Drosophila melanogaster: one gene and its partners. The protein of the gene in region 1 interacts with the protein of each later gene in a pairwise test. Each region holds a gene or a part of one and is shown in the gene's direction. Other genes may lie near its edges.

The links.
Region 2: the proteins of rau (region 1) and Pp2C1 interact in a two-hybrid assay, tested with the Drosophila melanogaster proteins (one large-scale study listed by BioGRID).
Region 3: the proteins of rau (region 1) and HLH4C interact in a two-hybrid assay, tested with the Drosophila melanogaster proteins (one large-scale study listed by BioGRID).
Region 4: the proteins of rau (region 1) and Btk interact in a two-hybrid assay, tested with the Drosophila melanogaster proteins (one large-scale study listed by BioGRID).

The regions. Positions count from the first base shown.
Region 1 is NT_033779.5:5,875,305-5,882,973, reverse strand, and holds the start of rau (rau), read left to right. Parts: upstream 1-3,475; 5' UTR 3,476-3,986; intron 3,987-7,669.
Region 2 is NC_004354.4:4,679,338-4,689,745, reverse strand, and holds Pp2C1 (protein phosphatase 2C), read left to right. Parts: upstream 1-2,842; 5' UTR 2,843-3,589; coding exon 3,590-4,634; intron 4,635-5,811; coding exon 5,812-6,259; intron 6,260-6,323; coding exon 6,324-9,114; 3' UTR 9,115-9,758; downstream 9,759-10,408.
Region 3 is NC_004354.4:4,643,092-4,650,447, reverse strand, and holds HLH4C (helix loop helix protein 4C), read left to right. Parts: upstream 1-3,033; 5' UTR 3,034-3,141; intron 3,142-4,005; 5' UTR 4,006-4,080; coding exon 4,081-4,584; coding exon of another isoform or gene 4,585-4,656; 3' UTR 4,657-5,321; downstream 5,322-7,356. Other genes in the region: Cbp80 (cap binding protein 80), read right to left, coding at 1-16, 76-118; torsin, read left to right, coding at 683-875, 934-1,763; mRpL30 (mitochondrial ribosomal protein L30), read right to left, coding at 1,859-2,273, 2,354-2,481; CG3062 (uncharacterized protein), read left to right, coding at 5,664-5,690.
Region 4 is NT_033779.5:8,296,143-8,303,582, reverse strand, and holds the start of Btk (bruton tyrosine kinase), read left to right. Parts: upstream 1-2,836; 5' UTR 2,837-3,077; intron 3,078-5,242; 5' UTR 5,243-5,260; coding exon 5,261-5,512; intron 5,513-6,458; exon of another isoform or gene 6,459-7,142; intron 7,143-7,440. Other genes in the region: Scgalpha (sarcoglycan alpha), read right to left, coding at 1-42; wol (wollknaeuel), read left to right, coding at 760-825, 885-1,059, 1,251-1,647, 1,704-2,046. UniProt on the Drosophila melanogaster protein: Required for proper ring canal development. Also required for the development of male genitalia and for adult survival.

The DNA.
Region 1 (7,669 bases):
TAAGCGACTCGAATGCGATAGAAATCGAAAGCTAATGTGCTATTTAAGGTGATTGTTAAAACCACATTAGTTAAACGTGAAAATACACCGCTGAATATTCGTTGCCTTTGGATGTTTGAAGCGCATTATTAAAAGCGTTCTTGGCCCACACCGAAAATTTCTGACTAAAAATACAAATATTTTATGTCCATAAACAGAAAATGTTTCGCATAATAAATCATCCAGCAATAATATATCATTTAAAATGTGAATCTGAATGCACAAAGCAAGCAACTAAAATGAAAATAAACAAGTCCACTTAAAGCGCGTTTGAACTAAAAGGTGTATGCAATATTTTACCTATAATATATATATAAAATTTAACGTTGGTAAAATAAACTTCTGTAACTTAATTATTATCATTATGAATTCAAGCCACTGCAAGTAATTCTCCGTTTAGCTGCTTCGCCCAGCAGAACTTGATATCGAAGTGGTTTCATCAAGAGGTCGGTAAATGAGTTATGAATCCTTGATATCCTTGACGCCTTTTCGCTTGACCTGGCGAAGGCGAGGCCACCTGGCTACGAAATGGCCAGGACATCGGCGGAAGTCCTCCCGCCCTTCCGTCCCTCGACCCGCACTCCAGGACTTGTCTCTGACCCAACTGCCGATGCCACCTGTTTGGGTCTGCAAGCTGTCGCCCCTCAGCTGCTGAAAGTTTGGTGTTTTATTCGGTTTCGGCTTTAATGAGGACCTCCGCTAAGCCGCTCGTGGCACTTGCCACTTGAGCAGACGCCGCAATCGGAAGTCCTTGTTTATGACATGGATACTGAAGCCAACGGCCAGCCAATATCAGCTGCTTTGCTAACCGAACTTGATTTATATCCACCAATTGAGACGATCTCGTTTGGGGTAAGTGATGTTTAGGCCTTAAACGGATAGCTCTTTACTCCGATGCCAACTAATTCGCTGTGCAATCATTTCGGTACAACCAAAGCGGCCTTAACAGGCTACCACCACTTAGTGGCAGGCCGTCTAAACAAATCATTTGAGCGCAAACTTCATCTCGGGTGCCTGCAACTTGATAGATGGCATGAATAGAGTAGCCCTCGCCTTGCGCTTCTCTGCCTCTTTTCGTTTTTTATTTATGGTTTACAGCTACTATTTATAGGAAATGTGCTCAGCACGCAAAAAGTCAGTCGGTGCTTTTTGCACCGAGGGGGAAGTCGGAATCGCAACCCACTTGACAGACTTCGCTGCCATCCGGAGCAGATGCTGATGCAGATGCAGATACAGTTGCAGATGCAGATACAGATACGGATACAAACCAACACAAGTGCAGCTCGAGGCGAGTGTGTTTGGGCGATCCGAGCTCCAACATTTTTGTTTACAATTGGAGCACGTCTGTTTTGGCTGCGGCAGCTGCTGACCATTAGCCATTAACTTGCAGCCGGCCGCGCTGAGTCCGCAATTGCAACTCCATGCGCGTACAGGCCGAATTACCAGGGCAGAACTCGAAAGATTTCTGTTTGTGTTTGGAAGATTGTTGCAAAACATTGTTTCATATTAAATATGATATGCTTTTGTTTTCAATTCCGTGGCATATAATTACAAGTTCGACGGCAAGGGCATCAAATATTTTACTTTAAGCTTTTTCGATGGGCCGTCATGAACAGTTTCGTAGGCTCTACTGTATTTGAGCTGAACAAACACTGTTACTTCTGTAACTGGAGCATACCTTCGCTGCGACTTCATCTTCATCTGGAGTCTGGTGGACTGGAGGAGAGCAGGGGACCTGCATCCGAGTCTGAGCTGCCCTCCCTCAAACTGGGCTGGTGTGTACTTTTCACACGGCTGTGTGAAAAGCGTGCTATGATACCATTTTCATGTCCGCACAGTGCTGCACAAATATTTAACCGTTGGTCAGAGGAATGCCACTTAGCTACAAGATGTAACTTTTTGTGCCCCGAGGACAAACTTTGATACCCTTCAGTCAGAACGGAGAATGTTCTAAGGAGCCAAGCAATTTGACTGGGCTTTATTAACACCTTCGAACAGATCTTTCGGCTTCAATGTGAATACAAAACCAGTATCAATTTGTTAAACGGCGACCTCTAATTAGGGCCTGATTCATGAATTCTTAATTGACCGCCCCGGGTCACATGCAAACATAACTTGCCGTGCTCCAACTAATTAAATTACTCTCAAAAAGCAAACAAATAAAATTGGTTCCGCATTTTTCGCTCAGATTTTCACAACTCTGCGAGTCCGTCGTCCATCAGCGACATCGACTCATCAAGTTCATCTATCAAAGTCTAATGAATTTTACTGGCGCATCAGTTGGTTGGTTTTTTCCTTCCTTTTCATTCGCAAATTATCGAGCAACAAAAAATCTGTTATTTATTTTTGTTTTTCGCTTCGCTGATGATAATTTCACTTTCATTAATAATTTTTGGACTTTTTGACTTTGTCATAATTAATTTTTAAACTTTTGCTTTTCTTTGTTGTTTCTGTGGGGTCTAAAAAACATCAAACCGAAGCAATCTACGACTTGCCGGAATGGAATATCTCGCCTGAATGTTGAACTTTCTTTCACCTTTTCAGTTTACATACTGCCAAAGTTCAGGGCTTATTTCCTGGATTTAGTTTCGCCAGACTTAAAGTTACAAAATCGATCCTGTTAATCGAATACTATAGAAGGAGTCTTAAGGTCTACCTATTAAAAATGCATCAGCTTCATATTGATTGTTGTGGAAACTGTTAAGGTAGTACAGTTTTTGAATTTTCTTGTTGTTTAGTAACTAAATAAACTACTAATGCCGTTCTAGCGTGAACACATATATACATACGATTACTAGCTAAAGTCTTCTGCTTTGAAAACTCCCTGATTTATTACAAGTCCGTAAACTCTAGCCGTGCCTCGCCCTTCAACTTTGGTCATTTATGTAGCTCTGCCCAAGCCCATCCGGCGTCGCTCGACCGCGAATCCCCATCCCCAGATTTCCATGAGGAAACCCACATGCCGGCAAAGTCTAAGTCTGATTGGAAACCAGTTTTCCTCTCTCCGAAAAGAGCGAGCCGCAGACAGAACTAGTTCGCCCGCTCACTCGCCCACGAAGCGCCAACCCACACCCCCAGTGGCTCCATTATGAACGATTTGCGTTTTCCCAAAATCCATTCACCTAACATTCATACTATTCACATGGTATCAGATCAGCTTGGCTCATTTCAAGTTGAATTAAAGTCCCCTGTAGAAGATAAGAAGAGAGAGAATTTTATAGTCAGCTTAAAAAAATTAAATATTAGTTATCAAATTATTAAATAACTTGCTAACTGCAAGTATCTGCGTTGCTTTCCGCTGATCAAGCTAGCTATAGTTTTTTTCTGAGTGCAGAGAGGCGAGAGCGCGAGAGCCAGCTCACACACACATACAAAACAGGTATCTGAATGCGACTCCTCTCAGCGGGTTAGACCTCGCAGACGCTAGCCGTGCGGCTTCAGTGCGTCTGTAAACACTGCCGAGTGCGGTACTCAATCTACATTAGCTCCGCTCGAAAATTTCCAATTCTTAGTGAACTGGCTAACGGTAGCGAGCCTATTCGAACGAAAGTGAATGTGCGTCCAGATCTAAAATAAAATTGGTACGAAAGCCAAAGGAATATACATATGTACAAAAAGTGAACAAATTCGGATAGAAACTCAAAGTGCAACGCTAAAATAAAAATCAGTGCAGCTGCTTCCTGAGTGCACCTGTTTCCCCAGCAGGGAGCACGTACGCATACGCACCTTTGGATACGCGAAGAAATGCGAAGTGGCGTAGAGTGCTTGATAACTTAATGCCAAGCAGCCAAAGGGCCCTAAAAGCGGCAGCCGAAGAAAAACGACGCGACCTTGTCTTGTCTTCGCACTCCGGACTTCTTATACCGCCATCCATCAAAGTCTCGGGCCTTAAGGTCTTGGGATTACACACAAATCACATTTGGATACTACAAATCATACGCTAGAAGGTAAGCGCCCGATCGCTGGTCCAGTTTTCGCTCTTCATCTAGAAAGTTTGATTGCTAGACGAGATCTAGTTCGGTCGATTGGGTTTCTTCTCGCCTTGGCGAAAGTCCAGAATTTTCACAGCCCACTCTCCTGCACTCAATTATCGAATTGCGCGATTAGATCCAGACAGTTTCGCTGGCCAGAGGAGTTGATTGAACCCGCAACGGTAACCAAGCTGTTGGCCAGTCACTTCCTCCATTCCCGAGGTCATCTAGGGGGATTACAATGCAAATACGGAATTGCTGAGCATCATTGTCCGGTTCTTGGCCTCCGACAAGTGTACATCCGTGGATCTGCAACTCGACAATTTGCTCAGCATTTTTTTGAATTTTTATGCAAATATTTCAAACTTCCATTAGAGGGCCACACAGGCGGACATAAGACCTTCCCAGCTATTTTGGAAATGCATAAACATTTCATGTAAATTTCTTGGTCGAGTGACTCTCTTAATTAGTCGAGTTGCTTTGTTGGCCGATTATGAATGACACAAACTTTGGGTCTCGACCAAACATTTGATTTGATGCATATCTTGTAGATTTCTGTGAGAAAATCCGTCTCTGTTGTTTCAAGCTCAGATGAATGATATCACTCAGTTCGGTAACAATGCTCATTGGGGATTTTCGATTAACAATGCCCCCCAATCGGATACACATGTGTATCATTTCATTTGTCTTTGCTGTGCTTATTGTCAAACTCCTTAATGTCAATTCCACATAATATCATCTAATGAGGAGTTGCAATAATAAGTTAGCATTGTCCACCAGACGGCGGTGTAACCATGATTACGAGTGGGGAAAATCCCGATGTCCAAAAGCGGTTGGTTTTGATTATAAAATTGCTAGCCTGAGGTGGTGGTTACCATCACTTTCTCGCAATTTTCAACGCAACCGCAGAAAAGTATTGATATCGAATTAATTTCCTGTCCTCTCGCACACAGGAGTATTCGGTCTGGAGCATTGTTTTCCTGTGGACACTGAGGGGCTAAAGATTTCACATACCAAGCACGTAGCCTCAGACCGTTTGGCCCAACTTGTTGTCTTTGTTAGGTTCTATTTGGCTAATTAAAAATCAGGAAATGCACGAGTACAATACGCCCCAGAGGGCTCAACGTGCTGCGATCCCATCCTGAATTTCAGAAGACTACGTGAGAGAGGGATTACCTTTTTGGGCCTACCTGCTCGTGTGCTACTGTCAAGTGCGGTTTCCTTCAGTTTAGCGCCTTCTGCTTCGATTTCGGAACAGGTAGTACCACCAAATCTGTGCTTAACAGAAGTATCTTGTATTGGGCTGGATACGTGAGCCATGAAAGGATATTCGCCTCATTTAGTCTTCACATTGCACACACGTAGTACTTGCGAGGGGCGTTTTAAAAGGAAGTAGTTCTATTGATTAATCGATGGCAGGAAGTCGAGGGTGGTCTGCATCAGGGATCGTTTATCTTTCGCTGGAGATCTTGGCACTAACATCTCAATTCGCTTTTATAGTTTTTAGCCATTTTCTATCATATTTGTATTTAAGAGCTCCATTCCAGTGAATGGTTGAACAAACCATTTTGTATAATTTCCTCGGTAATTTATGCGTGGCTTTATAGCTTGAGGAAGTTGCTTGACTTCCATATACAGTTATGTACATTCAAGTCTATTGTTTCTTCATCTAACCAAAGACACACCCGCACTGGCAATAAAAAGACAATAGCATTTGTCAATCGACATAAATGTGCGCTAACCGGATTTTTGCGTACATATATGTAAAAGTTCTACTCTAAATTATTCCGGCTATAAAATAAAACAATTTATTTTACTGCAATTTTCCTAAGCTATTTTATTTTATTTCACACCCGAAGTCGTACATTCTCTTGTTGATTCTTAAATTGATTTACAATTTATTCGAGCGTTGGCAACACAATTTGATGTTGGAGCTTAGCATTCCGAAATATTCAAAATTCAATTGAAATGAATGCTGGCCCGAATCGGGGGTTTTTTTCGGTTATATATTATGCACTGCAGCCTCGTTTAACGTTTCTCGCTAACTCGGCTAAATTACAGCGAAAATCGTACTGAGTCAGCGGCTTCAAAATGGTAAATTCAATAAACAAGTTCAGCAGCGAAATGAAAAAATAATATACGACTTCTTTAATATAAATGATGGCACAAAGTCAGCAAAAAACTGGAAGTTGGCGCTTTTACTCGTGGTTTTTCTCTCAGCCGCTCTCGGTTGATATTTTTTTTTGTTGACACTTCGTTTTGTTAACAATTAATTAACAAAAAACCAAGGTACACAAAGCCTGTTAACTGTTTGTTTGCGCACGGCAACCTGTGAGATATGGTGGCGTAAAACAATTATAACGCCTTATGGCATCTGGTTTTCTCTAGCACTACAATGTATAATTCGAAACGATTAGGCATTGGGGAATTTGTGTGTTAAGTGATTCCGTATTGATTTGGCTTTCAGCGAAACTATGTAGTATTAGTCATAAGAAGCAAATTTGCATTGTAAATGGGTTACTGCGAAAAGAGCTTAGAGATTAAGTTGTACTGATGATCAGTCTTCTTATGATAGGAACATCTTGTCTTGGGAAATACCTTTCACATTTTAGTAGATTGTCCTAGATTAATATCCCTTTATTACATTATATAAGCGCAGGTGTCTTCGCTGATCCCCATACTTTGCTTTACGAGCAGAAAAAGTTCATCTGGAACTTTCTTCTGTCCAATTGAGTTTCTTCACCTCGCTTTTATCACTTTTTCCAGCAGTTCAGATGATCCATTAGGGTCAAAAGCTGGGTAACCTTTCGCTATGAACCGAGCAAAACCTCGTAAAACTTTCATTAGGCCGTAAATCTAGCTGCGAAATGTATCTCACAGTGGCCATCTTATCGGCTGGGAAATCGTTCTCGCCACTGACTTTCCACCAACACGTGCCTCTGTAATCCGCCCACCTGAATTGGCGACCGATTCTCACGCCTAAAAAGAAAAGCAAACTTACCACTTCAGTTCGCATTTGTGGCTGTGGATGTTGGCCCAAACCGCAAGTGATTTTGTTGCTGTTGACTTTGCAGTGGCCGGATGGTTCTGCGCCTCCGATTCCCAGCAGCTATCCTGGGACAGGAATTTGCTGGCTCGGACTCGGGCTTAATGCACTGTGGGAATGCGGAATGTTGGGAGTCCCAACAGTTGATTGACTCACCACTGCTGTGGGGATTCATTAACTGACCCTGCAAATGCAGCTTTTACTCGCCTTTAAAACGCTCGTAACCCCTCGATTCCCAGCTGGTTTTGACTACCTGGTAATCAATATGCGTGTAGCACCCATTCGACGGGGGCAAAAAGAGCTAAAGGCCGGAAACTCGCTGGATTAAAGCAAGTGAGGATTATACAAAAAAACAAAAAAAAACTCTGTGCTGAGCCACTGCAAAAAAAGACCAAAAAGCTTGCCCACTTTGGAGCTCTATTTGAGCGTTATTAATATCCGCACATCAGTCAGCGGCACAGCGGCTAAATACAAACACTTGGCCCAAAAGAAATCCAGGGCCCAAAAACCAGAGCGCTCGTATATAAAAAAAAAAACAACTACATTCTTCACACAATTGCACTCTTTGCACATCTCCTTTATTCCCTTCCGCTGGCCATGATAAATTAACCAA
Region 2 (10,408 bases), on another chromosome or scaffold:
AAAGTGTAGGGGAAAGAGAGAGGGGAAAGAGGCAAGACAGGAAGCGGAAGAGAACACAAGTTGTATATTTATGAACATGAAACAGTGCTTGTTTTCAGCATTATTTTTTTGTTCAGTGTTAATCAAACACACATATAAAAATTCGTGTGTGTGTGGCTGCGTGAATGACTAGCAAAAAGCGTTCCATAGTAACTGCTGCAGGTCCCGGTCCAGTCCTGTCTCTCTCTCTCTCTCTTTCTCTTTTTCTCTCTGTGCTATCAGCCTGACATTTATATATAAATATATTAAATATATTAAATATATAAATATATTAAATATATAAATATATATATATATTTTAAATATATATATATATAAATATGTATATGCGTAAATGCCTAGCAAAAGGCTGGGACGGGGCCCTGCACCTGCTAATATGTAACGCTTTTTGCTAGTCATTCATTTTTTATATATATTTATGTATATTTTTTATAGATATATTATATACATATATTATTATATATATATATATATACTAGACTGGACGGGGCCCTGCACCTGATACTATGCAACGCTTTTTGCTAGTCATTCACGCAGCCACACACACGCGCCGCTTGCACATACACGCTGGGTAATTGAATTTCCCGTTTGCAATTGGAAACCCGCGAATTTTCAATGCAGGACTACACTCGGCTTCCCTCGCCGAACCTCTACTGTACTCTAATTAGCAATTTTCACACAGCCTAAGGGAAGAACAACTGAAACTTTCGACAGCTGATCAATCATTAGCCCGATTGTTCTCGAAAAACGTTGCGAAAACTCTGCTGAAACCGCTGACAAAAAATCACAAAATCTTCTACTATTACCTGCGTTTCTATGCATAATTAAAATGACGTCAACCCGAAAACTTGATATCAGCGTAGCTCCAAATAAGAGCCAGAAGCTGACAAAAAAAATGTTTTCTGTGTTCTCCCACACATTTTGCACCACGGGAACTTTTCGCATTATTAAAATGCATAACGTTGCTTTTGCATTCAAGAACATTCACACGGCGTTTTCTTTTTGTTTTTTGCTAGGTATTTTCTATGACTTACCTTTTAATTTTTCCTGATTGCGCGCGATTTTTTCACTCATAGTTCAACAGCTGTCACCAAATAAATTCTAATGCAATACCAAATTTGAACTTAAAAAAAAAAAGTTGTGGGCAGGAAAAATGCGGAATGCGTGTGTATGTGTTTGCTTATTTCTCTTTCGGTTTATTTTTTTTTTTAACAATTTTGCACGCAATACAAATTTAGCACGCCGCGGCTACTTCACTTTGAGAACAGAGAACGAGAAAAAAAAGAACAGTAGATAGGGAATTGTTTTTTCAGAAGATCTCTAGGAACCGGGTTGAAAAAACATTTGCCCCAATATACTTTATTGTGCGTGGATGTGTGGGTTTTTTACCGCTAAGCGTGTCGCCTGAATTTTACACTGGAACGGTAAATGGAAGGTAGAAACACCCTGACTTCTCGACAACTGAAACACAACTGAACGTTTTGCTTGCTGGTGATTAACTGAGTGACGGCTTCTATTTCGGTTTTCGACTTCGGTTAATCACACGACGGACGACGAGCTCCAACATACGAGTCGTAGGCGGCTCTGATTGGCCAGAACACGGCCGCGTCTGGCAGGCCACGCTTGGCGGGCGACGTCTGGCACCAGTGATGCTTATTATCGATTCGATAACACTTACCGATGTAGGGATGCTAATAATTGACTAGTAACGGGGGAATATTTTGTCGAGTATGGAATTAAAATCCGCGTAAAACTGTTGAAAGTCAAATATGTTCTCTGAAATCCTGCACTCGATAACCGGTATTCAATATTCGATTGAATGCAATTTAAAGACGGACATCACTGATATAGGAGTTCTAAACGATACAAGCAGCTGACTTTTCGGGTGCATTCGATTTAGCTTATCGCAAATATCAATTTATTTTATCGCACGCACTCGATTTATTTTATCATCTATGTATACATTTTTTTTTTTTAATTTTATATAAAAGAATTACTATTGCTGGCTAGCGGTGTTTCGATAAAAAAAACATATTTTTTGTATTGCAAGTAATTAAAACTATTTACAATAATAATGTTAAAGAAATCCAAGCCATACATTGTACATTCGATTAAATTTTGTATGATGCAACATAGTTTCAAAAGAAATCGACATGTAACTGACGAGAATATAAAAGCTGAGACGGATAATGAAACATATCTTTAATGTTATAAATTACAACCAGTTTGTTTCCAAATTTTTTTTCATTGACATACTTATTGCGTCAAGTAATAAACTAATTTAAAATAAGCATATGTAAAATAATAATGATACAATTAGTTTTTTTTATAAATGAAAACATTTATAATTATATGTTTGTCAAAAAATGCATTATAAAATGATATAAACGTTTGAAAATATACAGTACCCAAAATAATATTTGTATTCTTAATAATCTCGTTAGTTATCCGTAACTTGTGGTATTCATATATATCGCTATAAACATACGACTTTAGCTATATGAATGTATTTGAATGAGATGTGCAATAAGAAAATCGTTACCTTTTTTTAAACAGCTTATTGTGAATTCAATTATGATTATCATAATTCATTATGGAGACCAGACATTGTTTATTAAACTTATTGCTTTTAAATGTTAGAACAAATTTTAATTGCCAGAGAAAACTTACTTATAACAACTTATAATAAGTGTATAAATTACGAAAATCTTAAAAATAATGCACTCAATACATTCATCGATTGCAACCCCGTCCTCGTTGTTATCGATTGGTGTGCTGCCAGCATTATACATCGCCTATGGAGCGTGGTGTTTTCGACCTACTTTCACAACGGTCACACGCTTTCTATTTGATTTTTTTTTCAACATAATTTTTGTTAAACAATTTGCCGTGAATTTTGTTGTGTGTGTGGATGTGGACGTGCTGACAGCCAAAAAAATTAAAATAAAAAAAAAAGAAAAGTGTTCGCAAGTCGAGAGCAGAATCGAACGGCAAAAAATGCTGGCGAACAACAAATCATCAAGGTAAAACTGCGCGCCTTGGTCATTAAGTCTTTCATCGAGGATAAAAGACCGATGTCTTTTAACGTTATTGCTGTAAGCAAAAGCAGAAATCACAATCTACTCATAAATCCTCGATTTGGTGCAAATTAAAGGAAATTCATCGGTTTTTGGCGGCCAGTTGCAAACACAAAATACTAAATACGCTAGATGGAGCACGCATACACGCAAGCTCGTTGGCGAACGTAAATTACATACATCATATAGATAGTCGTCCCGCTTGCACTGCCCGTCACAGCGAGGGCTGCGAGAGCGAGAGCGGGAGAGAGAAAGGCCTGAGTCGCTTTTTCTTCTTGTACTTTATATATTTTTTATTGTTTTTTTGTGTTGTGTTGCGTTGTACGTGTGTGTGAGAGTGCCAAATGTCAACGGAAATTACAACACTGCGAGACGGAGAAGTCTAAAAGGCAGAAGAAGAAGAAGCAGCAGCAGGCAGCATAAACAAAACTCGGGGGAAAACCACAAAAAATAACAGAGGGAGAAGCAGGAAGATGTTGCCCGCCAATAACAGGAGTAGCACCAGCACCCATACCAACACAAATGCCAACACAATCAACGCCACTACCAATACCACCAACAGATGCCTCATCAATACGGCCATCGAAAAAACGGTAGTCCGTTTGCGAGAGACGGCAGCGAATAGCGGTACTTTCCAGGACTCAGATGAGTCGTCCGTGGAATTTGATATTATTAACTATTATGGGGACGACGGCGGCACAACTCCAGCACCAGCTCCAGCCACAGCCTCCGTTACTCGCCACGGCGGCAGCAGCAGCGGCAATAACAACAATAACAGTGCATGCCATCCAGCACTGGATGCCAGCAGTGATGTTGTTGTTGTTGAACCGGCAGCGGTAGGAGTCGCACAGGAGGAAGAGGAAGAGCCGGAGCAAAGGCCAGAGAGGATCAGCATACCCATTCCCGACCTGGCGTTCACCGAGATGGAAGCATATGCCGAGGATATAGTCGTCGATATGGAGGGGGGATCACCAGCCAAGCCTTTAAATCCAAAGAAACAACGTTTAAACTCAGCAACAACCACAACAATAAATCGCTCGAGGGGCGGCGGAGCGGCACAGAGTCGATTACGCCGGTCGGCGGCCATCGTTCCACCGCGATCGATTCCAGAGAGCTGTGCCAGCAGCAGCAATTCCAATTCGAGCAGCAGTTCCAACAGTAATTCCAGTTCCAGCTCCGCTACAGGAAGTAGCGCATCCACCGGCAATCCGTCGCCGTGCTCCTCCCTGGGCGTCAATATGCGCGTAACTGGACAATGCTGCCAGGGAGGCCGGAAATACATGGAGGATCAGTTCTCGGTGGCCTACCAGGAATCACCGATCACCCACGAACTGGAATACGCATTTTTTGGCATCTACGACGGACACGGCGGTCCCGAGGCCGCGCTCTTCGCCAAGGAGCACCTTATGCTCGAGATCGTCAAGCAGAAGCAGTTCTGGTCTGATCAGGATGAGGATGTCCTGCGGGCAATACGCGAGGGATACATCGCCACACATTTCGCCATGTGGCGGGAACAAGGTGAGCAAGAAATAGCTGGGAAACTAAGCCATCTTACAGTTGAGACAACCCAAAGAAAGCAGTTAGTTGGCATAAAGATTTTAAATCATACGAAAAAAAGAGAATATAATATACTTGTATTTGTATTTGTTTTTGTGCCTTCTCTCATGCAATTTCATATCAAAATTGTTGCCAATGCCAAGCGACCGTTAGAGATGCGCGAAAACTGAATTAACTGCCAGTTGGCGGCATTCAAACCGCGTAAGTCCCCGTTGTCAGGGTTGCCGTTTCGCACCACCCCCCCACCCACACAAAAAAAAGTTGCCTCAAGTTTCGAGCTGCTCCCTTGGGTCTCCCATCTCTAGGTAATTATGCAACCGTGTGTGGCGATGACTCAACCATCGCTCAATTGCTCATCTCTATTGTCAGCCCACACTAAAAAGATACAAGTACAGCAGCAGATACAGATACAAATGCACACACACACTTAGTTATCGCGAGTGGAATATTCCACGGACTTGCCATATGGCTGTACTCTCGCCAAGCATGGCAACCCCGCTGTGAGTTAGAGCGGGACGTCCGTATGGCGGCGCGGCCCACCAAGGCGTTTCGAAATGCGAGAACGAAAGAGATGCAACGAGTGAGAGAGCGAGAGGTGGCCAAAGAGAAAAGAAAATAAATGTGTGCCCATTTTCCTATTCGCATAACAAAAACAATGTACACAGAAATTCAAGGGATGCCAGAAACGCAGATACACGTTTGTAGGTGTGTATCTGTGTGGGAAATATCAATATCCGTCGTTTCGATATACCAATATATTCAGTTAAGCGCCAAAAATCCAGGGGCCTTAGAAAATGATTTTTTCAACTGCTTGCATCATGTAAAGTGGCTGTTTAAATGCTATTACTCATTGCCTCATTAAATATATAAATATAAGTAGAAATTGTATTTAGTTGTTTGGGAAAATCCAGAATTTTAAAGCGATTTGGTATTGTTTTCTTTTTGTCCTTACCCTATTCATTTTTTATAATTTCATTAAGTTATTTAGGTTTTCTGTTAAAATGAAGGAAATTTTATGACTTACACAACCATTTTTTTTTTTTTTTGTTAAGGCTTAATTCTTCTTTGATAACGTATAAGTTAAGTTGGAATTATGGAAAATTCTAAAATCTGGTATTATCCTTTCCCAACCCCGCAGAGAAATGGCCACGCACTGCCAATGGGCATCTGAGCACCGCCGGCACCACCGCCACAGTGGCCTTTATGCGTCGCGAGAAGATCTACATTGGTCATGTGGGTGATTCTGGGATCGTTTTGGGTTACCAGAACAAGGGCGAACGCAACTGGCGTGCTCGTCCACTGACCACGGACCACAAGCCGGAGTCACTGGCAGAGAAGACGAGAATCCAGCGTTCCGGCGGCAATGTTGCCATCAAATCGGGAGTTCCGCGAGTGGTATGGAACCGACCCAGGGACCCAATGCATCGCGGTCCCATTCGCCGCAGAACTCTGGTAGATGAAATACCCTTTTTGGCGGTGGCTCGTTCCCTGGGCGATCTCTGGAGCTACAATTCCCGCTTCAAGGAATTCGTTGTGAGTCCCGATCCGGATGTCAAAGTGGTTAAAATAAATCCCAGTACCTTTAGGTAAGTGATCCTGATTAATTAGCTAAACTGCTGGACATCTTAATATTGAATAATTTGCCTGCAGATGCTTAATTTTCGGCACCGATGGCCTGTGGAATGTGGTGACCGCCCAGGAGGCGGTGGACAGTGTGCGCAAGGAGCATCTAATCGGCGAGATACTCAACGAGCAGGACGTTATGAATCCCAGCAAGGCGCTGGTGGATCAGGCCCTCAAAACCTGGGCCGCCAAGAAGATGCGTGCGGACAACACGTCCGTTGTGACTGTGATACTAACACCAGCGGCCCGCAATAATTCGCCCACAACGCCAACACGTTCCCCATCCGCGATGGCACGCGACAATGATCTGGAGGTGGAGCTACTGCTGGAGGAGGACGACGAGGAGCTGCCGACACTGGATGTGGAGAACAACTACCCTGACTTTCTCATCGAGGAGCATGAGTATGTGCTGGACCAGCCGTACAGTGCATTGGCCAAGCGACATTCGCCTCCGGAAGCCTTCCGCAACTTCGACTACTTCGATGTGGACGAGGACGAGTTGGATGAAGATGAGGAAACAGTGGAAGAAGACGAGGAGGAGGAGGAGGAAGAGGAGGAAACCAAATCGGTGGGAATTCTACAGCAAAGTTTGTTCAACCCCAGAAAAACGTGGCGCAAGTCAACCATCAACAATTCCTGGAGTGGCGTCACCGAACCGGAACCGGAACCCGATCCCGAACCAGATCGAATAGATGTCTTAACACTGGACATGTACTCCCACACCAGCATTGACAAGGGCACCAATTATGGCGGCAGCATAGCCCAGTCCTCAATAGATCCTGCGGAGACGGCTGAAAATCGTGAGCTGAGTGAGTTGGAGCAGCATCTGGAGAGTAGCTACAGTTTCGCCGAGTCGTACAACTCCCTGTTAAACGAGCAGGAGGAGCAGGAGGCACGCTCACGTTCAGCAGCAGCAGCAGCCGCCGCCGCAGAAGCAGCAGCAGTAGAAGCACAACAAACCACTGCCCATTCCGCATCCGTTGTGCTGGACCGCAGCATGTTGGAGATCATCCAGGAGCAGCAGCACTATCAGCAGCAAGAGGGCTATTCGCTAACGCAACTAGAGACCAGACGTGAAAGGGAGCGGCTGACCGAATCGTGGCCACAGCAGCCGGCTGAGCTGCTCGAGCTGGATGCTCTACTGCAGCAGGAGCGTGCCGAGGAGGAGCAGGTAGCCCTGGAGCAGCAGCAGCAGCGCGAACAGCAAATGGAGCAAATGGAGGTGGAGGCCATTAGTAGTTCGGGACAGCACGAATTTGCTTACCCAGTGACCACCGCCACAGCCAGCGAGTGGTGTGCTACATTACAAGAAGACGAGGAGGAGTTGGACTCCACAGTAATAGACATAGTAATTCAACCCGAACAAGAGTTGCAGGACAATGAAGTGAGCTCCACGTTGCCCGCCACACCCACTCATGTGGAGCCTGAGCAGATTGTGGACAAGATGGAGCCCCTGAAGGTTCAGGAGATGCTAACCGCGGTCGAAAAACCTCCATCCAAGCAGGAAAAGAAGCTGCCGAAGAAGCAAGAGACCAAACAGGTTGCTGTGCTAGATACAGTGGCCGAGATGCCCAAAGAGGATGCCCATGCCGTGCACTATATATTCCAGCGCATTCAAAAGGTTCAGGACTCTGAGGCAACACCAGTGGCCGTGACGAATTCCACAATGGCTGACGCCCTGCCCACCGAATCTAGTGGACTGGGAGGATCTATGACCGCGCCCCGAATCCGACGCTATCGCAACGTGCCCAACGAGAACCATCAGCACATGCAGACGCGTCGTCGTCAGATCTTCAAGCATGTCAAGCCAAAGTCCTTCATACAGTCCAGTGCTGCGGCGATTGTGGCCTATGGAGACAGCACCGAAACGGTCGGAGGAACAGCCGGAGCATCTGGCACACCTGCAGCTGGGCGTGTAGGCGGGGGCGGTGGCGGCGGCGGCGGCAGAGGATCGGCCAGTGGTGGGAGCAGTCCAGCGGTGGCAGCCAATAGTCGGCGGAGCGTCAATGTGGTGGCCAATGCGAGTGGAAACAGCGCTAGCAAAGTTGTGCCCAGCAGCAGTTCCATGATGATGACCCGCCGCAGTCACACCTTGACGGCCAGCGGTGGTGTGAACAAAAGGCAGCTGCGCAGCAGTCTCTGCACCTTGGGCCTGGGTGTGGGTGTCGGTGTCGGTCTGGGCATGGACCTGGACATGACCAAGCGCACGCTAAGGACAAGGAATGTACCCGCTTTGTCGGGCGGTTCAGCCACGCCATCTAGCAATTCGTCGCCAGCCAGCGGAGGCAGCAGTCCAGCCGGTTTCACAAGCCCAGCCAGTCCGGTCATCACGTCCAGGGGAAGCGGATCGCGTACTACCGCCTCGCCAGCCAGGCGCCTAAAACGCAGTCATGAGGATCGGGAGCAAAGAATGAGCTTGCGACGGAGCACTCTGAGTGGCAGTGCCAGCGGCAGTGGGCTGGTGGGCACTGGTGGGTCGCCCTCGAATGTGAAATCAAATCGCCTGCAGGCCTGCAATGGAGCCATCTCTGCGCGTCCGCCGCCCTCGCCGAAGAAACTGAATGCAGCCGTGCCCACATTGGCAATTGGAACGCGTGCATATACGGCGGCGTTGGCGGCGGCGGCGGATCACCTGAACAAGCGGTGGTCGTTGCGCAGCAGCAGTGGCAACTCTGGCAATCTGATAACCGCCATCAGTTGCTACAGTGACAGGAGCAGGGCGGCGACTGCGGCGGGATCACCGGGATCTGGAGGCGGGGCAGCGGGACCACCAGGAGCATCTTTGGCCGCATCCACAGTCGGCACGCGAAGGCGCTAGGCTAGATTGTAACGAAACATGCGAGCAACTTGCAAGTACAAATCCTAAGCAACGGAAAATTTTAGATCCTAGTATACTACTTTACTGAAAACGCAAAATTGCATAATTTAACCAATTTTTTTATGTGCACAACACACACACACACACACACATCTTTTAAATGTATATATAAAAAACTGTATAAGCCGCCGCATAAAAAAAAATATATATATTGATATATATACATTTATACCTACGCCTAAACAATTAAACAAATTCATAGTGTAGCTATAAGTCGAAGTTAGTAAATAGCAAAAAGTACATAGGAATATATATATAGATATATATATTTTTTGTATCGCCCAAAGTAAGAAGTTCTCCAACATCCGAAAGTTTTCCTCAACATAAATATTCTCTTTTCTAACTAAATCGTTTCGTTCAGTGTACGGCAGACTGGAAAGTATTTTTATCTCGTCTCTTGTGTTTAACTGTTTTACGCTATGTTGTCTAAGATAGTTGATAAGTTAGGCTAACACGAGAGAAGCTAATATTTTTAGGTTTATCATTTAATTTTTTTTTTTGTTCTTCGCTTGTAAGGTGTTCACCACTTGCGTTTGCAAGTCATTTTCATGTCATCGCGAAATATTTTCAATTGAAATACATCTATTTTTACATAATTCTATGGGTTTTTGGATTTTCATTCAATTTAGCATATGGATTCTCATAATCAAATTTAATTTTAAAGTAAGACATTTTTTCAAGTGTCGATAATTATGGTTGACCATATAGCATGGTCACACTGGCATGGTTTGCTATAAAGTGAATTAAATGTTTTGCGTCCCAAGTAAATGCAACAAAAGCTGGGAACAAAATGTCATTGCTCTCAAGAGTTTTGTTTCACCTATTGGGCGGATGTTTATCAATAAGTAAAGAAGAATTTTTAGAAATTTATTGCAACATTTAAACCCAACGGCTATGACCAGCTGATTTGCTATAAATACAGTATATTAGTGTGAAATTCAGTATTTTCCATAGAAGTAGGCCCGCATTATGTATGGTATGTTTTAGTCACTCCACGAACGGTAACACTTTGGCTTGTTTGCTTGAAAAAACGTAACTTTTTTTGTTGTAATGAAGGAAGCAGCACGGGCAGTAGACCAACTCGAAATCGCGCATTGCCAACACGTAACGTACCAGCCCGTGTAATAACAGAAGAAACCCCGAGCCGCAACAACAACCCCCGAAAAGCGGTAGTTGTAAGAGTTTTCCCAAAGTGGCAGCGGCAATTACACGGCGAGAAACGAGTTCGCGTCGC
Region 3 (7,356 bases), on another chromosome or scaffold:
TTGTTGCGCCGATGATCTGCAATTAAATGCCCCCATAAATGCTTTGCGTTCATGATTACATCGATGCCCACTTACCATAGCCCTCATCCTCCGTGTCGTGAGCCCTCCTGCGACTCATCTTCCCGTGAATTTTCTGTGAATTTTGCGGAAAACACCGATTACCGATTGGTCCTTGGCCACCGGCAGACAGAAAAGCACGCTGATGGGTACACCTCTTGGACCTGGACTTTTTCGGGGATCCTGGACAGGATACGCTTGACGGATGGGCCTTGTTGGTGCGTCTAGTATTTCACTGCGAGCGTCAATTAGCTTGCCAACTTTCAAAACAGCTTTGTCACAATTTTCACAAAAAACGCGATGCGATGCTATTTTTTTTTTTTGCCAAAGAACTAAAGATGTGCCGCCATCGATGGCAGGGTTTATCGATAACAGCGGCGGCGTAAGCGGCGGACTGAAAATGGGGCCTGAATAAACGTTTTCTTTGGCGCCATATGCGCAGAATTGCGGCATACTCAATTAACCAAAACATACCACTGACTGACTTACAATAAAAATCTGTTGAATGCCACTGCTACACAACTATCGATAGAAACGGTTGCCGGCAAGTGCTGCAATCTAGTCTTATGCTGCCTATCGCTTTTGCCCATCTATACATTCCACCGCGGAATTTTCCTTGCATTTTATGATGAGCTTTCCACGCATGTTATCACTGTGCCTTAGCGTGCTTGTAATACTGCCGCTTCCCCTCCAGTCGGTGGATCCCCTGACCATTGGTGCCGTTGGCGCCGTGGCCCTTGGGGCGTACTTCAAAGAACATACATATTGCCGGTTTGCCGAATGCTGCGATGACCGAAACATTCCGGCGAGAATAGATGGTGAGTGAGTAGTTTTGTATGCAACAAAATGACTAACCAGTACAGTGGGTAATTACAGAATTAGAAAGATCCCTGGAACGCACCCTCATTGGCCAGCACATCGTGAGGCAGCATATCGTCCCCGCACTGAAGGCGCACATCGCTTCGGGCAATAAGTCACGGAAACCGCTGGTCATCAGCTTTCACGGCCAGCCCGGTACGGGCAAGAATTTTGTGGCTGAGCAAATTGCAGATGCTATGTATTTGAAGGGCTCCAGGTCGAACTATGTAACCAAGTATCTCGGACAAGCTGACTTTCCCAAGGAAAGTGAGGTGTCTAACTATAGGGTGAAAATCAATAATGCGGTGCGCGATACCTTGCGTAGCTGCCCGAGATCTTTGTTCATCTTCGACGAGGTGGATAAAATGCCCAGCGGAGTATTCGACCAGCTCACCTCGCTGGTGGACTACAACGCCTTTGTCGATGGCACGGATAACACAAAGGCAATCTTCATCTTTCTCTCGAACACGGCGGGCAGTCATATAGCCAGTCATCTGGGTAGTGTGATGAAGAATGGTAGGCTGCGCGAGGACACACGACTGAGTGACTTTGAGCCCCTTTTGCGGAAGGCCGCCTATAACATGGATGGCGGTATGAAAAAGACCACCATGATTGAGTCTCATGTTATCGATCATTTCATTCCGTTCCTGCCGATGGAGAAGGCGCATGTGATCAAGTGCCTGGAGGCGGAGCTTTTAAGGTGGCGGCGCGATCCTAAGCAAGCGAACAACCAAAAAATCATTGAGGACATAATAAACTCCTCCATTAGTTACGATCGCACGCACAGCTTGTTCGCCATTTCGGGCTGCAAGACGCTGGAGAAGAAGGTGGCCATGGCCATTTACTGAGAAAGGACCGACCGACTCCACATTTTAATGCTTAGTTTGGGTTTCGGTTTGTATTTAAAAAACTATTTTTTCGGAATAAAGAAAACAAATTTTAACTACCAGGGATTTAGCCACTTGAGGCGGGCATCTTTGCGCAGCAGATCGGTATCCAGTCGCTTGGGCTGCTCGTCGTAATCCTGGCGAGCCGCCAGGCGGGTATCGATGGGTCCCAGGTCCTTGGTTACCAGGCACTCGCCGTTCTCCTTGAGTATCGTATGCCGGACATCCTGGGCAGTGGGCTCTCCGTAGGGGAACGTGACCGGCGTAACCTTAATTAGATGCTTGATCTTCCACAGGCGGGCATTGTTCTCCGGTATGTTCTTGACGACAGTAAAATCGCTCTGCTTTCCGTCTAGTCCCAGATCTTTGAGGATTCGATTCTCCCAGTAGGGATTGCCCTTTAGCGGCTTGATGCGCTGCACCCGGAAAAGTTTCGCCGGCTCCACGGGTGGATCCTGGTGATCGGGAGTCCTGAGCGGGATAGATTTAGCATTAACAAATGCTGGATTTCGTGTGTTTTCCTTTTATACACTGCACACGTGAATACGAACCTGGGATAGTAGGTGATACCCTCAAATTTCTGGCCATTTTTGTAGAGGAACTTCTTGTTGTGCTTTCCGTAGCTGCGCACCGAACATGCGGTGCTCCTCAGTGGATTCAGCAGCCTTCCCAGGTTCATCTTAATTGTTTTCCCCCCTTTGTAATAAAATTAAATGCAAAACGCTTATGAAATAATTGATGTTTCCCCGACGATAACGATTACACAGACATCTGGTTAACTAGTTGCCTATCGATGGGCAGCATGGATACTGCCGTTATGTAAACCAATGTTAACCGCTTGCTGTTAAGCGATACAATTCAAATGCAAAGGCGGCAAAGTTAAAAGTGATAATTTATCATGTACAAACTGAAGATAATTTATCATTTACAAACTGAAGATAGCGAAAACATTATCAATAAGATGGTAATATATATTCGTTGTTTTTTTTTTTAATATTTCAAGAATTAGTTGAGAAAAGAAAGTTTTTAGGTCATCGGATTACACAGCCTCCAGGGGATGATGTCCATTTCTGGAAAGGGGCGGTCTCATATCAAAATCTCCGCCATTTTGTCAGCTACAATTGGCGCTAATCGACGAGGGTGGATAACTTGGCATTGGCTGGCTTTCAACGCAATGGGGTTGTTTCCGATTTTGGTTATAAAGGAGGCTGCAGCTTCCCGACCGGAAGTCAGTTCCACGTGAGCATCCATCCGGCGAGCAACCGACTCTAGTGGCAAGCAAGGATATCTGCCAGACAACTCAAGGATCTAGAATAACTCTGCACCTGTGATAACTGCTGTAAGTTCAGGCAACAAAGCCCAAAAATTGTGAGCAATGCAAATGAAGTGAATGTACTAGCGAGTAGAATAATCAAATTAAAGATACAAATAGCTGAATGAAGTCTCTAGTTCGTTTAAAATTATATCTAGAAATTTGTTAATTAGCTAACTTGACCATGTGCACGCACTCGACATGTGTAAGTGTACTGGAGTTTCATAGTCTTGAGGGGACTTGAGTTACACGACAAGTTCTTAAAACTAGATCGGATTTCCATCATCCCATGGGATCAATAGACACGTCTTCGACTTGATGCAATTCCAGTGACACTTTTTGGACCCAAAACCCATTAAATCAATAGATATAAAATCATACGTTAACCGCAACAATACAAAAAAGGGTGGCCAAGCCTAAGGGGTTGGCATCGCTGAGGTTTGCCAACTCCCGCGGGCAAATAAACGTGCCGATTGTTCAGCTATTTGTGTAGGTGTGAAAATATGCTGCGAATAAACAATACACGCACAATGCCGACAATAAGCACAATAAGTACAATAAAAATAAATGAAAATAATAGCAAACGCAAACAGAATGCAGCGAAAAAGGGGTGTGTCCTTCATCGGCAAGGACGACACACACACACACGGACACCCTTCATCACAAATGTCCACAAATGAAGCATAAATAATTCGAGTGCAAGGATTATGATTTCTTCAACGCCTATTGTAACCTTTTTTTTTTCAATAGCATGAGCGCTCCACCGCAAAGGTAGCCACACTTTTCGTCTTCCTTGAGTTTGAAATGCAGATCTGTGAAGCAATCAAGTACACATTTCGTTGTATTCATAGTCTAAGCTGTGCATCCTCTTGCTTCCATTTCCATTTCCAGCATTCAGCAGCAGGCTGGGCAGCGCAAGAAAGTCCAGTGTCCAGCACCGAAATCAGTGGTGCAAATAGCCAGAGAATGGTCTACGATATGAGCCATATGGCGGCGGGTCCGCCGCAAAGCATTTCGCTTAGTCGCTACTATCTGGTCGACGATGATGAGATGATTGGGCCAAATAATCCGCATCTGGTCAACGAGGACTATGCGGCCAGTACGACGCTGGATATCGATAAGCGTTTTCAGGCGCGAATGGCGTGCGAAACGGCCGCACAACCGGCACCGCCACCGCCGCCCACGCCGGCGCCACGTCGCCGGACCACGCCCATTGCCCATTTGGATCCATCGGAATTGGTGGGTCTATCGCGGGAGGAGCGGCGTCGTCGCAGGCGAGCGACACTCAAATACCGAACGGCACATGCGACGCGGGAGCGTATACGGGTGGAGGCATTCAATGTTTCCTTTGCCGAGCTGCGCAAGCTGTTGCCCACATTGCCGCCGGACAAGAAGCTTTCCAAGATCGAGATCCTCAAGCTGGCCATCTGCTACATTGCCTATTTGAATCATGTGCTGGAGACGCCCTGAGATAGCGCCGGCGCCTCCAGTTTCGCCACCAGCTGCCTCTTTAACGAGGCCAATTTTTTCGCCCCCCCGTAGGAGGTGGGGGGGCGTGGCGGGCGGATTTAGGGGGAAAACATTGCGAATATTCCACATCCGATAAACGCATTTCACCATGCTCTGTAATCCGCACATCGCTCCATTGGATACTTTGCCGGTGGCGGCTATGGATAATGCGATTATCGAATTAGCCATCTCACCAACTTAACCGAAGTGTTCGATGGATTTTGCCGATTTGCTAACCTATTTAACCTATGGTTAAATACATACATTTTTTTGTTTTTTGTTTTTTTTTTTCCTTGCCACTGTTGAAAGACAAATGCCCGTCGTTTCGTTTCGATTCGTTTTTTTTTTTAGGCTTAGGTTTGTTTTCGTAGAAACAATTGTAAAGCCACGATTTAACCTAAGGTTAAAATATGCCCGTACTAAATGTAGAAGATATAAGCTATTAGTTTGTGTAATTTAATTGAAAAGTAGAAATATCGAAGGAAATAACAAAACTAAATATGCCAGTAGTACATACAATTAAATTTATGGGAAAGCAGTGCTTAATCCTCGGAGTAAACCTTGATCATGGTTTATATAATATAAATAACCAAGAAAAAAAAAACAGAACCTTAAACTAAGATCCATTTTTTGTCTAGCCTTTAAGTCGTGATATTTGTTTATACTCAAACGATTAATATATACAGCATTGTAATCGCAATAAAAAATTGTCTACTTTATGTATTTTGGCGCGCCTTTGCACGACACTCCCCTCGACTTTTGGACACCAGCTGCTCTGACTGAGTTTTCCATTTGTCTGAACGCTTTGCTCGGAAAAGCCAGATGCTAACAGTTCCCCCTTTTTCACCAACCTTCAAGAACCACGTATCCACGTATCAAAAGCGGGCGTGTCCTTTGCGCCAAGCCCCGCCCATTTGTGTAAAAGCGAAGTAGAGCAGCCTCTGTCATAATTTTCAAAAATTGAGGATACATTTTTATTTTTTTGTTTTAGAAACTGTGAAAGCGTCACGGAAATTTCGACTTTTGTGCAAAATTTCGAAATGGCCCTTCATTTTAGTGCACAGCAGGTAAGACAAATTTATTCTAGTCGATTGGGAGGCTGTTTTCAATATCCATAAATAGTGGCCTAATTTGGTTGGTACGGGTAACGGGTATATATATATATACATATATATATATTTGTGTGGATCCATGGATGTAAACATTTTCGCAATAATAATAACAACAAACGTGGCAATGGCAACCAACTCGATTCGGCGCCATCCTTTTCTATCCAGTGAAAAACGACTCCTGCATTCCGACAATCGGCTGTTTGTCCCTGTATGGGTGCTATTTTCATGGGTGTGGGTGTACTGGCGTTCATAAACAAAAACAAAGGCCAGGCGACAAGGAAGTTTTGTTGTGTGCATATTTTAGTTTTTACCAGTTATATATTTTATTCTTTATTTATATTTTTATATATTTTAAATTAACTCATTTTGAATGGCATGTGTTTCCTTTGCTCGAATTTTAAACTTTTGTTTATTTATTTTTGAAAATATATGTCGGGTGTTTTCTTGTTTTTGAGTGTCGTACGCATAACGTTACCGCTACCGCTCCGTTACCGTTTCCGCTCCCATAACCGTTTGAGCTCGCTTTTTCATTTCCTCCCCGCCCACCGCCCACCGCCCACCGCCCACCGCCGCCTTTGCACATTTGCAAATAGCGACAGTTAAAGTTTATTTACTTGGTAACGGTTACTTTGGACCAGAACCTTTGCCACGCAACTCGTTTTTGGGAGTCCACAGCTATTCGCCATATACACACACAATCGCAACGGAATCGGTTAACTGCGGTGGTGACGGAATTTCGAAAAGAATCTATTCGAATCGCACTCGAGAATCAATCGAAACGCCTGGCGTTAATGGTTTACCAATTGGCCAGGGCGACAGCTGTTCGGCCAGCGGAAATTGAAATTGGAAAAATTGAATGGAGCATTGAAAGAAGCAGAAGCAGGAGGCGGAGCACAATCCACAGGATACAGGAGCTTTGGACCAAAGGATAGTCGGCGGCAGAGCGTGAAATTAGCTTAAGTGCTTGTCGCCTCGACCAGGACACACCAGTGGATACAAGTGCGACATTAGATACGATACAAGAGTACCCGAAAGTAGAGAAGTACCTTCATTCTGGCGAACTTCTAGCCCAACCCCAGTGCCTCGGCCTAAACCAGCGATTCAACCGTGCACGTGTTTGCCAACTAGCTTTTTGACTGTCTAATCCTGCGGATGCGAGAATGCAAGGACACCATGTGATAAATTGCACCCCAGAGGGTTGCCATAAAAATCATCGCTTCACCCAGCTGGGGTGACCACCTCACCCATCTCAACCATCTCATCCAAGGGGTGCAAACTATTCTACCCATATATGCTACCAATCTATCTATCTATCCCATCACTGTATCTATCTGTCTATTGTGTAGCGTTAGCATAGATACCACACCATCGAGCCAAGTGCTGTTAGCTCCTTTGTTGCTAATTGAGTTTAAAATCAATTTGTATTTTTTCACGCCGCAATTTGTTCGAGCGCACAGCTACATTGCGTAATTGCCGTGCAAATTTAATTACAGCGCCGATGCGGTAATGCTGGTTGACCAACAAAACAGCCACGCGCTGCGAACGTGCGCCCTTGTCACACCCACTCACAATACGGAATCAGCACCCAGTGGAACACCCACTGCAGCACCCATCGATCAAG
Region 4 (7,440 bases), 2.4 Mb from region 1:
GATTAAAGCTAATACGACCACTATTAAGTTTAAAAACTTCATTTTGTATTTTATGTAGTTTTTTTTTTACGATTCACAAGCACATTTTAATTGACTATAAACAAATTGTTATTCCGCCCAGCGCAGAGGCGATGAAAAATTCCAATGGTGTGTATCTGAATGGGAGAGGACTACGTATATTCTCAGAACTTGTTGTTTTTGAATTTCAAAGAGCGCGCATGCGTGTTTCGATCCTTAAGCAGAGATATTTGTGACTAAGGTCAGTTTTTAATAGTATTTATAGGTTAGAATTGACTAAAATATATAGAGTAACTTATGTTAACATAAAAAAATCAATCAGAAAATGTGTTTTATAAAGTCTTGTACCATGAGTCCTATATCATATCGTAGTTTTTGATTTATTATTTAAAACTACATACTTAACCTATATCTACTTAATATTCGCAAGCATAAGAAAGTTTATAACCATTTTAAATTGCCTTTTGTTATATATTTTATTTTAATTCAAAATCATAGAATTCTTACTGCGATAGACCATTAATCGATATCTGCGGTGACTGTGAATGAGTCACTGTTTTGCGGAGAAGTGTCATCCCTAAATTGAGTTGACAACCCTAATCAGCTGCGGCATTTCGGTCTAAAATTCTTGGAATTAAATACGTGGCTCTGTTTATCTCGCACAAATTGGAGAAGTAATGTCTGCTGGCAGGTAGCAGGCGCACCTGTTCATACAAACTAGTTGCTAAAAAAAGCCCTACAATGTGGACCTGCCTCTGCCAGCTCTGTTTCTATCTACTCTCGACGCTTGCAGTCGCTGCGCTGTCGGTCAGATCTTGAATACATTCGCCTATCTTTCTTATTTTTACTGATAATCCATCGTTTAGATTGCGGCTCTGGTGCTCTACAAGACGAAGCCCTATCCCAACATCAAGCGGCACAAGGATGAGGAGACCTTCCTGGACCCGCACACCATTAAAACAGTGACTTTTCCCAGTCTCGAGGACTCGCCAAGTTTGGAGCTCAGTGTCATCGTACCAGCTTACAATGAGGAGCAGCGCTGTATGTTGCTTATTTGTTTTTGTTTTGGTGAATCACAGTCAACATTTTATCTATGCCCATTTGTGATTGATTGTCTGGCACCCGAATTTATCTACAGAAACTTCATTACACTAACATGTTACTTTAAGTTACTTTCCCCAAAAGCTATTCGATTTTCTTGTTCTCATTTGTGTGTGTTTATACTCGTTTAGTGCCTTCTATGCTGGACGAGTGCTTGGCCTTTCTGGAACAGAAATCTGCTGGCACTCCCAATTTCACATACGAGGTCATCGTGGTCAGTGACGGCAGTCAGGATGCCACCGTATCCGTCGCCTTGGGTTACTCGAAAAAGCACGGAGCAGAAAAGGTACGCGTGCTGGAACTCATCGAAAATCGTGGGAAAGGAGGTGCCGTTCGCATGGGTATGCTAAGTGCACGGGGTCGTAATCTGCTCTTCGCTGATGCGGATGGAGCCACCAAGTTTCCCGACTACGATAAACTGGAGGTGGCCCTCAAGCAATTAGCTCCCGAATGGCGAGACGATGGCATTGCCATTGGATCGAGAGCACATCTGGAGAACGATGCGATTGCAACAAGGAGTTTCTTCAGGTAAGATAAAATCCTACATTTATTAGCTGACCAAATACTGATCTGCGTTGCCACAGAACAATTTTGATGCACGGCTTTCATTTCCTCGTCTGGCTGTTTGCCGTGCGCTCCATTCGCGATACCCAGTGTGGCTTCAAGCTGTTCACCCGAACGACGGCCAGGAAACTCTTCACCAGTCTGCATGTGGAGCGCTGGGCCTTTGATGTTGAGCTGCTGTACCTCGCTGAGAATTTGAAGCTACCAATGTCCGAGGTTGCCGTTCGATGGACGGAGATCGATGGTTCGAAACTGACACCATTTTGGTCGTGGCTGCAAATGGGCAGGGATTTGTTCATGATCTGGGTGCGATATTTGGTGGGCGCCTGGCGGATTGCCTCCATACAGAAGAAGGAAAAGTGATGTGGACTTGGAGGGCATCTCATTCCCAATATTAACTAGCATTTTGTGTCGAACTTACTCCGCTGTCGTGCATTACCAAAACTCTTTTAACTCTAAACTCTATTTTTGTAGGCCTGATAAAGTGTAACGAATTCTAGCTAGTTAAGTACTTAAGTACAGTATTTTTTCAAATAAAAAATAATTGATTTGAATAAAATTGCGCGGCAATGGTTCTAAATTGTTAGTAATCTAAAAAAAGTAACTATACCAAGTCGTCTTCCTTTAGTATATTGCGCTTTAAATATATAAAGTTTCGTCACATTGCTTGTTTAATTTTGGAACGAAGAAATAATTAAAATCACTAGTTATTTTTTTGAAATATTGAAATACGCGGGAAAATAAAATAAAAGGCAGTATGTGTGGTATTTTGTATTCTTCTGGTATTTTAAGAGTAGTTATTTTCATATCGGTGTATCTCCCCACTCGAAGTGCGGTCACACTGCAAAGAAGTTGCGGCGGCGCGTTTAGTTTCGTATTAAATCGTTACTATTTAATTACAGTTAATTAGTGTAAACAAACCAATCAAACATAGATACAGCTGCCACGTGAATAAACGGAAAAGATTCTAGTTAAAGCGTAGGATCGCGAGTGCAACTGCCATGGGCGCCGCTAAGTAAGGAATTCCAGGAATCCTACGTTGCGCCTGTTGCTCCTCTCCCGCTCTCCAAAATTGCGTGCAGGTGTGTGCGGGTGTCTGCTCGTCTGTGTGAGCGTCTCAGCTGTGCCTGCGTTATATATTGTTTATAAAGATTTTTTCGCAGTATGCAAATGCTGAACAAGCCGGTCGGTTGATATTTCGTATTTACTCTCGTCGCCGCGCAAACGAAAGTGTTTTGTTATTGTTGCGTTACCCGTTGCGTCTGCCCCCTCCAATTGGAGAATTGTGATTTGTTAGTGGTGTGCGCTGCTGGTGTTGTTGTTGTACTTGCTGTTATTGTTGTTGCTATGCGGTCGGGTCATTGCTTCAAATTGCTCAATCAACGGCACTTGTGGTAAGCTGGTGAACTGGCACAGTTATCAATTTTATTCCTCCTTTCCGTCCCCTTTTTATCGCTATCGAATTACATACATACTTCTTTTGTTCTTTGTCTTATCAGCATTTATTCAATTGCCCAGCAAGCTGCGCTTGAAACTATTGTATTCTGATAAGAAAGGCGAACTCTGTGCTCGACGCATTCTAATCAGACGCCCTTGCTTTTGCATTTTCTGAATGCATTTCATTTTAAGGCATCGTGCAACGCAAAAAAAAACAAATCAAAGTTAATATAAATAATTATGCTGTGCTGATTTTATTAATCAGCTTATGGCGACTTTAGCTTAAAGTCACAATAGAAACTAATTACACGAAATTTTTTGTTGTTGTAATAATAACAAATAGAAGTACTGCTAAAAAAATATCGTTTACATAGTTGCTTAACTTATTTTAAATTAAAAATCAATCTTTTTGGAATATAAAGTAACTCAAAAATTGATTTCAAATTAGACTGAAATTCTTGCTAAGGTCGCAGATTCTCCAGTCTTCCTCTTCCACTAGAAAAAGCGCGACAATAAACAAAAATTAAATGCAAAGAAGAATACAAACTAAGCGCGACCATTTGCGTGGCGAAATTCAAAGTCAAAAACGAGTTGCCAGGCCACGCCCGCTATATGTATATATACATATATACTATATGTATGTATATTGATGTGCTTATAGCCCAGGTCTTTGGGCCTCTCGCTCCACCAAAAAGATTTATGTACACATTGCGCCTTCTGCCTTTTTGCCATCCTTTTTTTCCTTTCTGTGCCTCGGTCCGTGTTTATTTTATTACTTATGGCCATGCGCGTTGCGCTGAAGATTCTGATTCTCTCGCCCTCTCTTTTTACGCTCCGTTCGCCCATGCCCCCGCACTCCGCTCCTGTTTTTGTAGCGGCTCTGCTTGATTAAAGCGCGTGGGGGGTGGGGGGCGTCAGGAGACGGTGAGGAGGAAGAGTTGATCAGGAGATCCAGCCAATTGTTGTTGTCGCACGAGCATTTGTCGCCTTAGCTTTGTTTCCCTTTTTTGCAGACGCGTCCGTTCATGTTCCTTGATGATCAGAAGCGGATTTGTGAATCAGATAAAGAAAATCATATCGTCAGAGTAAAGAAAACTAAAACTTTTTTTTATTAAACAAACTCTTTTTAAAATCATCCTTAGTAAGATGTTTAAATAAATCAATAACTCAACCATTCCCGAATTCAGAGCACTTCGCTCCTGGAGTCTTCCTGCGTCTTGTTAGCTTTTGTTGAAGTGTGATAATGCCAGAGATCGTGTGGTGGCTGCTCCTCCGCTTGGAGCCACCTTTTCAACGGCCCGTTTGTTTGCGTACACGCTTCTCGTTTTGCGAAATGGAAGTTGTGGGGACAAGGTGGCAAGGAAATGGGGAATATGCCGCTTTGGGGGCTAATCCTTTAATCCGCTGTGCGCGACTTCAAGGTCAGCAAGTGATCTTTACTAGTGTATACCAACCTATATGTATCTCCTGTCTGCTCGGGGGCTAATTAATTGTTCGTTTAATCGTTCGATTTGCTGACCGACTCGTCTGTCCACTGGATTTTCCCTTCCTTGGCTCCACACTTCTCCATTAATAGGCAGTATACAGTATCTGTAAATGAATAACTTTATTTTCATCCACTTTTCGCCATCCCATACTGATTGATGCCAAGCGGAACGCCCACGGCAATTAGTCAACCAGGTAACTCCCAGTGCTCCAATGTTTTGGTGGCCCCATGTTCCACGGTCAATGCCTCGAGGGGCGCTGCAAAAAAGATTCGCACGCCCACGCCCACGCCCCCCAAAATAGATTTATGGCCTTGCCTCTGCAGAGTGTGTTGTAACCAATCTTTTTGGGCGAGCGCTTCTAATTTTAACCCTCTGTTTGCCAATGCGACATCCATTCTGACGTCCCACTAAATGGCCATTAAACTATTTAAAAATCTTTATTTTGCCAATGGGATAAATAAATGTATGATTAAATATTGTCTGTTCATACGTATGCATGGCTATAATCAAAGCACAGACAAAAACCCTTGGGTTAATACAAATATGTCTTATTTCGAAGGGTTAAAAACGTTTTGGCATGCGTGTAAATATTAACATTAACTTTTGGTTAGCTAATATGTTTCTTTGCTTTTCAGACACTTTTTCTTGTCAAGATGATGGGCACTAAGCATCGAAACTCGCATGTCAATGGCAGCATTAAGTCATCATCATCGCTGCGATCGAGCAGCAAATCCTTTCAAGCAAAAATGGATCTGATGTCCGAAAGGCTGTACGATGTCGTGAAAAGTGGATCGATGGTGAAAAGGGCTCAAAACAAGAAGCGTTTCACCCCCGTGAATTACAAACATCGATGGTTTGAGTTGACCAAGCGAACTTTCAGCTACTTCGATGTGGAAAATGTGGAGGTGAGTCATGCAAATTGCTGTACGCATTTCGGCCAACAGGTTTTATTTGGCCAAAACTAATTCAGCCAAAATAATGAATCGACATAATTTAAGCTAAATTAGCGAACACAAAATGAGAATGTAGATAACAGCGAAAAAAACAAAAATATTATGAGAAGCTGCTACGTATTTTTATTCGATTCTGATCGGTAGAATCAATAAATAGAGCTTATCTATTGGTAGATAATATGAAAATAATTCATGGATAATCTGCAAATGGTGTTATACATACTATAGCAATTATACACCATACTATAGCAATTAAGTAATTGCTAACTAATACTTCAAAAGATTCATATCTGTATGCTACATTGTATTTTGTAAAAATAATATGAATACGCTACTCAAAATGCACATCGGAGTTAGTCAGTTCCGGCTGACAATGAAAGATCTCAGGATTCGAAGGACCGGCAACTGGGCCCGCTTTGGAATTGGCCAAAATGGTGAATTGAGGAGGGTCCTTTCATTATGCATGTTCAAGTGGGCGTCTCATCTTGTCGTCGTGGCTACGTCATTTATTGCGTCGCTATTACGGCACCTAACGGGCTCGCAAAATTTTCACCATCCGGCGCCCGGGAAACTCAGCTTACTCTGCTCCGGCGACCGGCTGCATTCGTTTCAAAACAAATGTGGTTTTCGGAGGAAAAAAGTCTCCAGTGCGCTCGGCTTGGAACGTATATGTACCACCGTTCAATCCAGTCTCCGGCTGGAAAGTAAGCACTGTGGGGGTTGGAAAATACACACACAAAAGCAGCTGTTAGCCGGCACAATGTGTGTGGAAACCCACCCTCGACAGTCCTTGGGTGTAGACTACGGTGTCGTCCTATCCCGTTATGCCGTTCCAATTGGAAGCGGAGTTTCCCTTGAGTTTCCCTCTGAATATCCTGGATGAAGTTCAGTAACCGTGGCAGGAGTTTCTATCCTGGCCTCGTCGCGTGTGGACGTTCGTTAGATTTTCGCATTTAATATTTTATTAAGCCCAAAGACTGTGTTTTAGTTGCTTAAAAAAAATATATCTGATTTGCATGACATTTACGAATAAACACAAGTGTGCGTTAAAGTTTCGAGTAACGTGTTTATTTGCAATACTTTTCAAATTACAAACATTTTTCTAATGCGCCGGCCGCTACCCTTGAAAATTCGGTTGGTTTTCAGCGGTGAAGTGAAACCACCCTTATTTACCCTCTTACTAACTGTATTTAAACAAACTTCTATCTCTACTAAATCATATAAATGATTCGAAAAGTGCAGTGCATCCTACAAAGATAGCCGAAAATAGGAAAACACCCAAATAAAACATTTAAATCGCAAATCCTTTCCATGGCGTCGTTGGAAAATTTTTTGCGAATCTAACCGAAAAAAAAGAGAGAAGAAAACGCCCCACCCAAGGCAAAAGTTTTTCAAGTGTATCCAAGCGGCCTTTGTGTGCGTGCGTGGTGCGTTTGTGTGTGTGCGTGAGTCCTAGTGTTGTTGTCGCTGTTGTTGTTGCTTTTGCTACTTTTGCCGCACCCCGAATTTCGAATTTCGTGTGCCTGTGCCTAAAATTAAAAGGATTATCCTGACGCCCAAAAGGACGCATATTTAGTCGTAGGTAAGCATTGAACTGAAAGGGAGAAATGCCCACGGGAGTTACTAGTTTTATGTGCCAAGTTTGAATATCGTAATTGAATTAGATGGGGTTTTCCTTGTAGGGAATACGCCTAAAATTATGCAATAAATATATACATTTTATGCCTGATTGAAATTTATGGAAATTGAAAAAAAAAGTTGATTACATTATATAAACACAACACGAAGAAAAACTTCTCTGATAAAACATCATTACTTCATTAAAATCAAATGATAGATATATCATTTTAAGTATTTTCCATCTACTTGAACGTCAAAGG